Caenorhabditis elegans: one gene and its partners. The protein of the gene in region 2 purifies or fractionates together with the protein of the main gene of each other region. This does not show direct contact. Each region holds a gene or a part of one and is shown on either strand. Other genes may lie near its edges.

Region 1 (3,980 bases), on a different chromosome or scaffold from region 2:
TCCGGGAAAAATTTCTCGCAAAATACAACGTCTGCAGCAAATGGAACAACTCAAGCAGTTAACAATGGCAAATCTGTAAGTTATATAGAAAAATCACTGGAAAAGCCAGGAAAAATCAATTTTCAGGGCTCAACACTTCCAACCAATTCATCTTCTGGATCTTCTGATTCATCAACATCACCATCAACATTCACAGTTTCTTACAACAACACAAATTCCTCTATCACTTGCATCGAACCATCCCTGAACTTGACCTACACTTCCAGTCCAACTTCTTCACAAATCAAAAGCAGTTATTCTGTCGGAGAGCTCATCACTCAAGTTTGCCCGCAATCTTATGTTTTTGAAATTGCACTGCAACCTGTGAAGATCTATAAGTGCTTGAAAACAGGAAAATGGGCAGGATCACCAGAGAATTGTATTTGTAAGTTTTGAAGTATAAATTGTTTAAAAACAAATGTGTGACTTTTTCAGATGGAAAGAGTGAACTAAAATTGCCAACAAGACTTTAATGATTTGTTAAAATTTTAAATCTATGTCCGGAAATAAATTAATTTGTGTTACTCTGAGAAACTTGACAATTAAAGTTTGTGAATATATTGAATACATCGGTAAAATATTTATTTAGCTTAGGCACCGAAACGCCTAATTTTAGAGGCGTAGGTCAACTTAAAGGCAAGTAACTTGTAGTGCACTTTTGTTGTTCAAAATATTCTGAAAAATGTTTAAATGTGATCTTTTAGGGTATTCAGACACAATCATTATGCATTTCGGTTCCAATTAATGGTTTTTTCTTCATAAATTTCAGTCAAAACTTGGGAAAAATATTTTTTTTTAAATGAATGTACTGTGAAGTTTAGTATTTATTTTATTACTCATTTTCCTATTTTTGAAAGAAAAATATATTTTATTCCAAATACTCAATAAACAATCCAAACTCCGCCAGTAGATCTCATGATACAACCAATATTGTCATATTTATCGGATTTCTTATCAACTTTCCACATTTGAGAAGAAGTGTCGCATACAAGAGACGCCGAGATTGAAGATGAACCTTTTTTGATCTCGAAAAAGTATATTTTTAAAATTCAAAAAAGTTTTCTCACGACTAAAGGCTTTGTATCTGCCTGTTCCGTTAAATTTCCAGAAATTCCAACTGCAACATATCCACTCCCATTAGTGTCAATTTGACAAAGCACTGAAACTGGTTCAGAACATTTAAAGTCTTCTTTTGTAACATTTGTCATAGCGGAAAATGAATAAGCCGGGAATTGGCAACATTCTGGAACTAATAGATATAGTTAAATTAAAAATGTTTTTATGTTTCCTACTTTTTCCCAAAATTGAAACAGGAAGTGGTAACAGAACCAAAGCGAATAAATAATTCATGTTTTTGCAGTGAATTTTCTTCAAAATTTTGGTTTTATAGCATCTATTTGAACACATTCTATTATGGAATTTGAAACAAAAAAAGCTGACGCACAGCGATGACTAATCGTGTTCAAATGAAAATTATTGAAACGAACAGATTGAACAGAAATTCAACGGAAAAACAAAGTTGAACTTTCCATACTGAAAATTTTTAAAACATACATAAATTCAAACTTTCCTCAAAACAAAATTGGAGTTCTGTTTATACAAGTGCTCTTTACTGTAAGCATATTTTTTTGCGAAATCATACAAGTAATTAATCGGAATGCATTTTTCCATATCATGAATTTGAAGGAAATCTCGCCGCACCTGCTGCTGCAAATCGGTGAGCATTATAAAACCTTTTGCGTCCAGTGGTCGTAAGTCATACATAACAAACCGACCACACCTCGTTTCCAACACACAATCGGATATACCAAGTTTAGACAAAGAGGATTCAAGTCATTGTATTATGCCTTTGCCAATGAACAGAGAAGAGATATCAAGCGGCCTCTTGTGGGTTAAATGTAAACCATTTGAAAACGTTTTAAAAGCTGAAATTTTGAAGAGAGCAAAAGAATGAAACTTGCAAAATTCATTCATTAAATAAGATCAAGCAGGGCTCTATGGATTGTACTCGAGGGTTTTCTTATCAAGCCTTCTTTGGGTTGAACTCGGTTGGGAGTGGACCTCTACCTCCACCAAATTTGGTGCACTTTTAAACCTAAACATTTTTAACAAGAGAAAAAACAACGAGCTTTCAAAATTCATTTATTGAGCAAGGTCGAAGAGGGCTCTATGGGTTGTACTCAATTGGAAGGTTCTTGCGACGAACCATACCGTCTCCTTGGAACCATTCACGGCGGAATTGCTTTGCAGCTCCATCCGGGGTGTTGGTCCACTCAACAGTAATACGGTCGTTGTTAGTGTCCTACTGTCCAAAGGCGAAGGCATCACAGGAAACAGCAAGAAGGACTGCTTCCTTTGGGTCCAAAACTCCACATGGTGGATCAACTCCAAGTCTCTTCATATTGGTGGTCTTGATACCGTATCCAATACGGCGAGCCGAGGAGTTGATCACCTTGATGTGGTAGGTGTGCTTGTCATCGTATGGTGCATTGAAGACGATCTTCGTACCCGGCTGGGTCTGGATATCTCCTGGTGGGACGGATTGGGCACTGGCGACTTCTTTGTAGAGTGTGGAAACTTACAGTGAAGATTATGGTAAACTCTGCTCAATTTATAGCAAATTTCTCTCTTATCTTTGTCCCAGATCTTTACAATAGCCACGTCACATAAAGTTCAGAAAGTTAATAAATTAATTTAATGATTTTTAAAATCCGTGAAAGAGTTAAATTTTAGGAATGATTTTGAAAATATATTTTTAATCTATTGCCGCACAGGTCTTTGGCTTCAGCATAACTATGCATGAAAAAACATGAAAAACCCATCTTACTCTGTTCGGCCCTATCAAAAATCTCTAAAAAATGTTTCACTAGATATTTTTCAAATTTTTTGAATATTCCGACAAGAAAGCATCTCATTTCATATCTTCAATTTGACGGAAGTTTAGTTATAAGTTCCAAAGTAGTTTTAAAGTTCAAGGCAAAAATTTAATCGGATATTAATATGACCTTTTTCCTGTTTGTAAACGTTTGTTTTTCAAACATCTCCTTTTTTCAGGAACTGATCTTTGGGTTGATAACACATTTTGAATTTTCAAAATCCAAATCCTTACCATGATATTCAACGAAATTCTCAGCAAAAAAATAACCAAAAATAAAAACTCAATTTTTGATTCAATTTAACTTTTGAAGATTTCAGGTGATTTTATTTTCAGGGTCTTATATATTTCCCCAACATCTTCCACCTGCTAAGTTGGCTAACCAATTTCCTTTTTTTCAGTAAAAAATGTTGATGCCCACGCCTTTTTCCTCATTTCTCAATTCATCGTGAAAGCGGTCCCAAGAGATATTGGAGCGTGTATTCTCAGACAAAATTAAGTTTTGTTCCAGACGAGGCGGCACAAACTCCATTTTCATCACACGTTTTTCTGTCTCACAAATATTGCAGTTCGTTGTGTATTCTCAAATTTATTCAAAAATCAAACCACAAATATTTGATTCAATTATTTTCATACCCTTTGAAAGTTGTACAATTTATTTCGCAATTTTTTGTATATCTAATTGAATAATCTTTGGACCTTCTTGATTTTTTTCCAGCTATTTAATTCAATGCAGAACACTATTTGATTCTTTTTTCTCAAAGACGCAAAAAATGCCTGATTGTCTTGAAGGCTGCTTACGCCTCCTTCGTGCCTACTGCCAAATCATAAGCAAGCTGAACTTTCAGTAAATTAATTGAACTTTTTGAAAACCTTGAATCTACAGTGTGCCATTACCAAACCATTACCAAACACCGGGACTCGTCGAGCTAAAATGCAAAAAAATAGGTAGGCACGCAGGCAGGCAAGCATTTTTTTTAAGGGTTTTAATCTTAAAACGGTTTTCGTACAAATTTTACTTTTATTTTTCATTTACAATTTTAAATTTTTTATTTTTTCGTAACCC
Region 2 (4,742 bases):
CATCACTTTCAAACAATTTTCTAACTTCTCGAAAAATCAATATTGTCACAAATTTGGCAATTTACCAAAACCAAAGACTAAACATTTTGGAAAAAATCAACACCAATTTAAAGTTACTCATTTTAAATTTCAGTATTTTGAACTAATGTTTTGTATAATTTGGAAAACCCACGCAACTCTAAATTTTAGTTTATATGGCAATAAACAAAATAACAACAGTTGTACCAAAATTTCTTGGTCAGACTTCTGAACACATTTTAGAACAATTATAGTATTTTTTTATTTTTCATACACTCAAAATATTGACAAAAAGTTTGTTCACTTCTAGTCTTTTCCAAAAGAAAATTCCAAAATTTTTTTGAGGTGGCTCGAATTTTTTCAAGCCTAAATTATCATAAGAACGTGTAATAACTACCGACAGATTTAATGCATAATGAATGATGATTTATTTTAAACAAGAATAGGGAATTATTCTTCAATTTTTTAAAATAATTTTTCTATTAAAAAGTTTTAATGGTTTTTTCGAAAATTCTTATTGCAAACACAATTTTAAAACCAAAAATTGTAGTTTCTTACTGATAATCTAGATAACAAAAAAGCAAAGTAGAATAATCACGTGGAGTCAAAAAGTCCCATTTTGCTTTGATCTTCGAAAAAATGCGGGAGAAGTGACGCAGACATCTGATCTGATTTCGCATGGTTAAGACTGTGCTGACGTCACAATTTTTCTGGGAAAATATTCCCGCATTTTTCGTAGATCAAACCGCAATGAGACAGCCTGACACCACGTGAATAATCTGTTTTGTTTTAATAAATAAGTATTTAATAGATACAATTAACTTTTTGCAGGTAAAAATCTGGTTCCAAAATCGTCGTATGAAACACAAAAAAGAGGCAAAAGGAGAAGGTGGAAGCAATGAATCAGATGAAGAATCAAATCAAGATGAGCAAAATGAACAACATTCTTCTTGATTTTCACTTTTTTTGGTCAGAATCTAATTTGAATTTCTTTTTACCTCGTTTCCGGTCGCTTTTCATTGTTTTGCTCCCATTTTTGTCATTTTCCTTTGATTTTTTGCATTCTTCATCGGTGATATATTGCTTTTAAACGACCTGAAAGGATTCCACGCCCTTTCGACGGGTCTTTGTTTTTATTGATTATTTCTCAATTTCTTCCTTTGCTTCTTTGGGATTTGATGATCTCAACCTTTGTCTCGAAAATTGTTTTTTACACACTGCTAGCCTATTTTTTGATTTTTTTTTCTTGAAAATTTTTCTACAGTAACATATCTGTTTGCTTTGATTTTTGGAGATGAAATTGATCTGTCATTATGTTTCACAGAGGACCTCACAAATTGAAGGACATTTGTGAAACGACACATATTTCACTGTGCCAGATGCAAAAGAAGATTGTTGATATACCATGTAGTTATAAAAAAGTGAACTGAGTTACGTCACACTAAAAAATTATATCGTCGATTTCTAATGAACATAAGAATCTGTAAAACTGGGCCACAAAGTGTGAATATGTACTGGATGATTGGTAGTAAAGCTTCATTGATTGCCTCCAAATAATACCTTAGTAACACTTGAAACTTTAGAAATAATTATATAAACCTGAAAATATCTTTTCTACAGTACCTCGCAAAGAAACTGCAGGTTTGAGATGTCCAATTTCTCGGAAAGTTGATTAGCTTTTTTAATTTTTTTAAAATTTAGTCATTGATTCACTGGTACTAACTAAATATCTCTGTGAAAATAAATGTATTTTTTGTTACTCATCTTTAAAAATTCGTCAACCAGGTTTATTCTTTTGCAAGTTCAAATATTTGTATATACTTTTGCAAGTTCAAATATTTGAGCAATATTGACTCCTTTTTTTATTAAGGAGTCAATATTGCTCAAATATTTGAACATTGGCATTATTTTCCGAAGTAGAAACATAATTAAATACTTTATGCGTTTTAGAAGGATCTATCGATGGTAAATAGTATAAATGCTGCATTTCGAACAAATAGTCAGCGAACTACGGTAGATGAGAGAGTACGCAATGAACATAATGCATTCTAATTTACGCACATTAGATTTTTTGTAATCTTTTTTTTTTCGTCAAACTTTGCAAAGTTATCGTTTTTCTAGCGGACAAATGACTTTTAATTTAAAAATTATTTGATTTTTTCGACTTTTTGAGTTTTAAAAATGTTTAATTTCAGCAAACTCTTCAAAATGGTCGCCGCAAGCAAGGAATTCGTGTTTCATCACACTTTCAAGGATGTTTCACAATTGGAAGATGGCGATTTTTTTAAAAGCCCCGAAGAAATTCATTACAATGCGGAATGGTAAGTCTTATCCAAGTCATAGATTACATAAAATATCTTTAGTTTCAGGTTTATATTGGTTATTCGCACGAAAGATCAACTGGAAGCGTACCTACACTGTGACAATGAGAAAGATGACAACGTCGCCTGGACAGTCGACGCCGAATTCAGCTTAAAAATAGCTTCATCATCAGGAAGTTATGCAATGAAATTCCAAAAGGGATGTTTCGATGGATTTGGACTGGGATGGAATGATTTTGTCAGTTGGGACTCATTGACAGAAGATTTTCTATACGATAATAGTTTTACTATTGAAGCATGTGTGAAGATCACAAAAATGACAGGATTCTCGAAAGATGTGCTCAGAAGCTTCGATGAATCAGAAAAAAGATTTTCCGATGTGATCCTTGTAGTTGGAGACGAGAAGTTTTATGTTTTGAAACTAGTAGGTTTTTTTTACAATCGAATTTTCCATTCAATATTCAATATTTTTCAGTTCCTGGCGTCTCATTCTTCATATTTCAATGCACTTTTTCTTGGAAAATTCAAAGAAGCCGATCAATCAGAGGTTACACTCCAAAACATCGATCCGACCGATTTTCAGAGCCTTTTGGAGGTTCTATATGGAGAACCTGCGATTGATGGTTAGATATTGAATTGATTTTAAATTAAAATAATTAAATTTTCAGATGGTACCATCGATGGAGTTCTTCTACTTGCCCACATGCTCGATGTTACCTTGGCAATTCGAAAATGCGAGGAGTTTTTGATCGAAAAGTCGATGAAATCGATGAGAGAGCTGTTAAAAATGGCTAACCAATATCAGCTGGAGAATTTAAAAGTAAAATTTTATTTTTTGAAAATTCCTGAAAACTAAAATAAATTTTGATTTTCAGACCGTTTGTATCTCGAAAATCAACACGATCGATGAGATTGAAGCTGCAATGGCTTATAATCCGGAAGAAATGGACCCGATTGTGCTGGCGACTCTCCTCAAAAAATCCACGGCTCTTCATCGATCTGCGATTTCTGATTCAGTATAATCATTTTTTTCCTGTTTTAGCGCTAATATATTATTGTGATTTAGTCTTTGATTCGCTGGTACTAACTAAATATCTCTGTGAAAATATATGTATTTTTCTTTTACTCATCTTTAAAAATTCGTCAACCAGGTTTATTAAGGAGTCAATATTGCTCAAATATTTGAACATTGGTCTTATTTTCCGGAGTAAAAACATAATAAAAAAACTTTATGCGTTTTAGAAGATTGAAATTGACTGAGTTGGTCAATGGCACAGTCTCCTCCGATGGAAATTTGCATTAGCGCGCACTTGCATTTTTGTTATTTTCATGAATTATTTTGCACTGAAAAAAATGATGGTTTTTTGTGACTTGAATTTCTCTTCGAAACGGTGTTTTTACGTTTTCATTTTAGGTATCAAATGTTAAGCAGGAAAAAAACTGTTTGTTGCATCATTTTGGGAATTTTTAATGAAAAACTGAACGCGCTGATACAAAAATTGTCAACAATTACACTCGAAAGTTAGAAAAAAAAAATTATTTTTTATATTCTTTTCGGTTATTAACGCTCTGTGCATGTAAAAATAGTTTCTAATTGTTATTCGCATGTCTGGCTACAATATGGTCAATTTCGGATGGATATCAATGCTTAATTTATGGTTTCATTACGATTTCACGGAACAGCCTGGCCAACAGTTTTCTGAAATAGGGAAAAATGCTCAAAGAAGATGCAACTGCAGACAAATTCGATTCAATTTGCTTTCGTAATGCTCAAAAATCAAAAAATCCTTATAAACTCGTTAATTTTTATAAAATTTGTGTGAATTCTGTCGAAGAAACAACATTCAATGACTCGGATTTCAGGCTCTACTTTTTCAAACAACGCGGCCGATCTCGAAGGAGGAAAGCCGTTCGGAAAGGTTAGCCCACTTTCCAGTATTCACCAACACGACAACTTTATCAACAGATAGTCGAAACGTATTGATCGGTTCTGAATCTAAATAAATTTAAAAAATCCATTTGAAAAAGCCAAATCATTTGAGATTCTTCCTTCTGAGTACAAAGTAATTTATTAGACAAAAATAGGACATCGGTACTTCTTTATGTACATTAAAATATATTAATGATGAAAAAATATTAAAATTGTCCGTGATATTCGAAAGTGAAGGTGCAGAGATAGCGGAAATCCAAGGGCAGTGCCAAGCTTGTGTTTGTTTCCGTTGTAGTGGTGAACTCCAGCTATGACGAGCATGACGGATCCTTCCAATTCGAAAATTCTGAAACGTTAAATTATGAGCCATATTTAAAATAAATTTTTTACCTCGGTGCTTAGTGTTGATGACAAGCTTGGCATTTTCGTTGAGAAGCGACTTCAGCTTCTGCTCGTAAAGGACGTATTGTCCT
Region 3 (4,622 bases), on a different chromosome or scaffold from region 2:
AAGCGAAACGAGAAGAAGCGAACACGTTGTTAGCTGCTCTTCAGATGCTCGAACAGCTTGTTATCGGGTAAGTTTTATTTAAAAAATTTTTATTTTTTCCAGAAAAAAAACCAAAAACTTTTTTCACAAGAAACGAAAATAATCCATTTTTTCAAAAATTACAATCTTTCAAAAAACACGAATGACTAAAACTTTCTATTTTCTAAAAAAAAAACTACTTTTTAAAAAGAATATCAAGAATTCCAACAAAAAATCCAAAAATCGGATTTTCCCCAAAAAAAACCATTTTTCTAGAAAAAAATTTCAAAATACAATTTCACACCAAAACTACCGAACAATCTTTTATTTTACAAAAAAAACGGAAGAAAAAATCACAAACCATCAGAAAAAAAAATTTGCAAAAAAATTAATTTTAGCCAAAAAAAAACTAACTATTTAATCCTCTTCACATAGAAATAAAACCAAGAAAAAAAATTTTTTGCTAAATATAATACCGAAAAAAAGTCACAATCATACATTTTTCAAAACAAAAACATAAAAATCAACTTCATCAACAAAAATTCCAAAAATTCATTTTTGCCAAAAAAAAACCTATCAGTTTAGCTTAAAATACTTAAAATATAGATTTTTCCAATTTTTTTAATCCAAAAAAATCAACAAAACAACTCCAAAGTACAAAAGAAATTAGAAGTACCATTTTTCTATTTATTGTATAATTTACAGTGACGATACAACTCGTGATTGGATTCTCGAAGAAGTTCCAATAGAGACTCTCATTCGACACGTTGAAAAATCAGATGAACGAATTGCTCTTTGTGCACTTTCACTAATGAATTCAATGATAAGAAGATGTCCTGATGATGAAAAACGATTTGAACTTATTAAATCTTTAGAAGTCGTTCCATTCCGTAATGCTGTACACAGTTCTCTTCTACGTGGTGGTGGTGGTGTTCGAAATCTGAATGCTATTGAACAACTTGTTGAGGTTCAAAGGAGTCTGATTAGTGCATATGAAACTTCACCTCCTACTGATGCTGAAGTTCAGAAAATTCTTGATATTGAATCCAGTGAGGATGTTTCCGAGGAGATCAGAGAAATGTGGAAATCACAAATTGGGGAACACCGATGTGGACGGTTGGCTGCAATTTCGATGGTTCAATTTGCAGAAAAAAGTCCGCAAGATCTGAGAATGCTAATTTCGGAGAATACAATGAGGATTGAAGGAGGAAAATGGCAACTGATTCCAATGTGGATGAGGTTTTTTTGCAAACGTAAAGATGTTCTGATGATTTTTTAAATTCAGGTGCTGTGACATTGCCGCAGAATTGTTCAGAGTAATACCTGGTCGTGATGAGTTGGATCGTTTGATTGTAGTTCTCTTTTCCACGGAGACTCCATTTCCAGCTGTATTCGCATGTATTGTACACCTTTTCCATCGAACATGGCGTGAGATGCAGGCAAAAGGAGGTGAAATGGAGAAAGTTGCGTGTGTTGTACTGGAACAGTTACGGCATGTGCTGAAAAGACGGGAAATACAAGATGTAGAAGAACTATCTGCGGATTTGGAGACTTTTTCGTATAGGGCAATGCAAGAAATTTGGAGAGAGGAACAATTGGGAAAGGAAAATATTCAATTACATAGTGAAGCTGTGATGTAAGTCTGAAAATTCCAATAACTTATTCGTATACATATTTTCAGACAACTAAAATCGAAATTGCGGCCAAAAATGGAGGAATTGGTTCGAATAAATCATCTAAACTATTTGAAGTTAGGCGCCGTTTTTCGAAAACCACAGAAAAGTAAATCCCTCGCAAAGCTCGCCTTCTGGCATTGGAAGCTCGATGCATCGGAGAAAATGCTCACTATAACTGGATGTGATGGTGAGAACTATGTGGAAGGTGTGCAGAGAGATGATATTCGGCAAGGTTGGGGGAATATTGAATTAGTTCTCAAATAATAAATTAATTTATTTTCAGTTTGGATCAAAGATATTGCTGATGTAACAAATAATGATGAGATTGATAGAAAAGCAAGCTCATCTCGATTCACTTCTTCTCCATCTACACAAATGTTAAGAGGGATTCGTGTACAATTAAAAACAACAAATGATATGAAAGAAGGCGAAGTTTTAATGGCATTGACATCCGATGAAACTCAATCTGTTATATGGCTTGAAGGTCTTGCTGAATTGATTGGGAGCAAGGCAGTTAAAAGGTATCTAGACATTGGTTACTGTAGTTACAGTAACCTGAAGAATAGGAAGCCCCGAAAATACCAATTGAAATATTTTCAGTGAAACCGATGCAATGGTTGAACGAATGCTGAAAATGGAGCTACGAGTTCGCCTTCTCAATGTGAAACTCACGAACCCCGAGGAGAAACCAGAAATTCCACCGATCCCTGACGATATCAAAAGCTTTATTTCAAAGTTTTAATCATATTCAAGCTTTATCATTCTTACGTGCATTTTACCATATTGAAAGGCAAAACATTTCCATGTGCATAATAAATTTTGTAATTTATGCCTATTACTGTGTATTTAACTTAATTTGAATAACGAGCCATTAACTACAGGCCACTAACAGTTTTCTGAATCTCTTGAAAACAAATTTTTGACCAACATTTTCAGATGAGTGCTATAAAAGAGGTAAAATCAGAGCTCAGGCAGTTTATGAAGACATTGCTCGGAAAAATTTCGAAAGAAGAAACTCAACGTCAAACAGAGGCGGTTTTTGAAAAAATAATTGAATCGAAATGGTTTCAAGAGAGCAAGAGATTGTCAGTTTATGTTAGTACATCGGGAGAAATACAAACTGATTCGATTATTCAAAAAGCGTTGGAAATGGGAAAAGAAGTTTTCATTCCACAGGTAAAATTTATTTTGAAACAGATGCGCAATAGATGTTAAGATGTAGGCATGTAGGTAGGCACATAGGCAGGCAGAAATAAAGCAGGTAGGCCGACAAGAAGTAGGCAGATATGAGCTATGAATAAAGGCAGGCAGGCACGTAGCCAGGCAGAACTAAGGCACTTGCGAGGTAGGCGTAAAGTAGGCCCCTAGACATGAAGGCTGTAATCGTTTGTAGTAGGCAGGCAATTAGTACCTAGGCAGATATTATATATGAATCCAGGGAGACAGGCACGTACAGCAAGTATAATTTATTGAAGTCACAAATGTAAAAATTTCAGTTCACGAAGGGCTCAACTGCAATGGATATGGTTCGAGTTCCGGATCAAACTGCTTTTGACAATCTTCCTTCAACACTTTGGGGAATCAGACAGCCAGAACCGAAATGGAAATGGCAAAGCTATCATGAAACAGGTGTGACTGCTTTTTAATAATATAACTCCAATTTATAAGTACTTACAGGACCACTGGATTTGATCCTTGCACCCGGCGTTGCCTTCTCACCATATGGACTTCGTTGTGGTCATGGAAAAGGATATTACGATCGCTTCTTCTCCACTCATCACAAACATTTTCCAGAAAACTCCCCAAAAAAGATAGGATTGGCTCTTCGTGAGCAAATTATTGGTACAATTCCTATTTCTGAAACTGATGTTGAACTTGATGAGGTTATCTATGAAGGAGAAACTATTATTTTTGATACTATTTAAGGCTTCACACTCTAAATAATATTCCCGATTGTGATATTGAGATTTTTTTTTAAATTTCTCTCGCCAATTTATAAGTGATTTTTCAGACATTCCTCAAATGGTTTTGTGATACAATTTCTTGCATTTGTTAACTGAATAAACTTTTTTGAACTACAGTTATATATAATTTTTTCATAGATTATTCAGTCATTAGTTAGAAGCATTCTAGCCTTCCGAGGTGTTTCAATTTTAGGTCCCACCACGAAAACTTGTGGAGATGTTCTGAAATGCCCCATAGAACTGCATAGCATTGTCCCAAAAGCCTGTAAATATATCTGAAAACTTGCTCACACAAAACGAAAGGATTCAAAGGCCTGAAGACATTAATTAGCAAAAATTAGATACATTCAATGGTTTCACTAATATCACACAGTTCAGATAGACCGAGATGAGGACTGATGTAGTTAAATCGATATATGATAGAAGCCCTGTAATTTACATGAAGAGCAACTACACGAAACTGAACAAAAATATTCATTTAAAGTCAATACATAGTAATCATTGTTCACTCTCAAACTTGTTGAACACGAGGTCAATTTTGGTCTCCCGATCCGCACTGCAAATATTATTATTTCAAAAAGGTTATCATGATCAACATACCTTTGCTTTTTCTCCCTTGCTTGACGAGTGGTCACTCTGACTTCGAATCCCTGGAAAGCTTGAAAGGTGGAACATTATCATATATCATATACTCTACATACCTCTGCTCTAATAGCTCCAATTCTACGGCTCAAGTGTTTCCAGCAACCTTCATCAAAAGCCAATCTCTTCTTCATTGTCCACATGAATCCATTCGAGTGTTCAAATGCATTTTTTGCGTGAAGAACTGATTGAGCAGGATCTCTGTTTTCTCCAGCAAGAAGAAAAGCAAAATGTGGATTGGTTTCATCGAGGACGAATTCTTGCTCTGCTTTCGAGTCTTCTTTTTTCTTTTCCTTATCTGGAGATGCCATTTCTTTTAGTT

Evidence for each region.
Region 1: the proteins of bath-15 (region 2) and F59A6.12 fractionate together in Caenorhabditis elegans (co-fractionation; one large-scale study listed by BioGRID). This does not show direct contact.
Region 3: the proteins of bath-15 (region 2) and Y106G6E.4 fractionate together in Caenorhabditis elegans (co-fractionation; one large-scale study listed by BioGRID). This does not show direct contact.

The regions. Positions count from the first base shown.
Region 1 is NC_003280.10:5,010,668-5,014,647, forward strand, and holds F59A6.12 (C6 domain-containing protein), read right to left. Parts: upstream 1,412-3,980; 5' UTR 1,390-1,411; coding exon 1,332-1,389; intron 1,283-1,331; coding exon 1,107-1,282; intron 1,065-1,106; coding exon 921-1,064; 3' UTR 856-920; downstream 1-855. Other genes in the region: F59A6.3 (Sushi domain-containing protein), read left to right, coding at 1-75, 127-424, 475-512.
Region 2 is NC_003281.10:7,773,499-7,778,240, reverse strand, and holds bath-15 (BTB domain-containing protein), read left to right. Parts: upstream 1-2,207; 5' UTR 2,208-2,226; coding exon 2,227-2,339; intron 2,340-2,381; coding exon 2,382-2,763; intron 2,764-2,814; coding exon 2,815-2,962; intron 2,963-3,007; coding exon 3,008-3,159; intron 3,160-3,214; coding exon 3,215-3,361; 3' UTR 3,362-3,564; downstream 3,565-4,742. Other genes in the region: Homeobox protein mab-5, read left to right, coding at 850-972; ZK686.1 (uncharacterized protein), read right to left, coding at 4,578-4,615, 4,660-4,742. UniProt on the Caenorhabditis elegans protein: Probable substrate-specific adapter of an E3 ubiquitin-protein ligase complex which mediates the ubiquitination and subsequent proteasomal degradation of target proteins.
Region 3 is NC_003279.8:10,220,787-10,225,408, reverse strand, and holds Y106G6E.4 (putative 5-formyltetrahydrofolate cyclo-ligase), read left to right. Parts: upstream 1-2,630; coding exon 2,631-2,870; intron 2,871-3,190; coding exon 3,191-3,323; intron 3,324-3,371; coding exon 3,372-3,619; 3' UTR 3,620-3,767; downstream 3,768-4,622. Other genes in the region: ced-12 (Cell death abnormality protein 12), read left to right, coding at 1-67, 724-1,257, 1,304-1,654, 1,700-1,926, 1,978-2,215, 2,295-2,436. UniProt on the Caenorhabditis elegans protein: Contributes to tetrahydrofolate metabolism. Helps regulate carbon flow through the folate-dependent one-carbon metabolic network that supplies carbon for the biosynthesis of purines, thymidine and amino acids.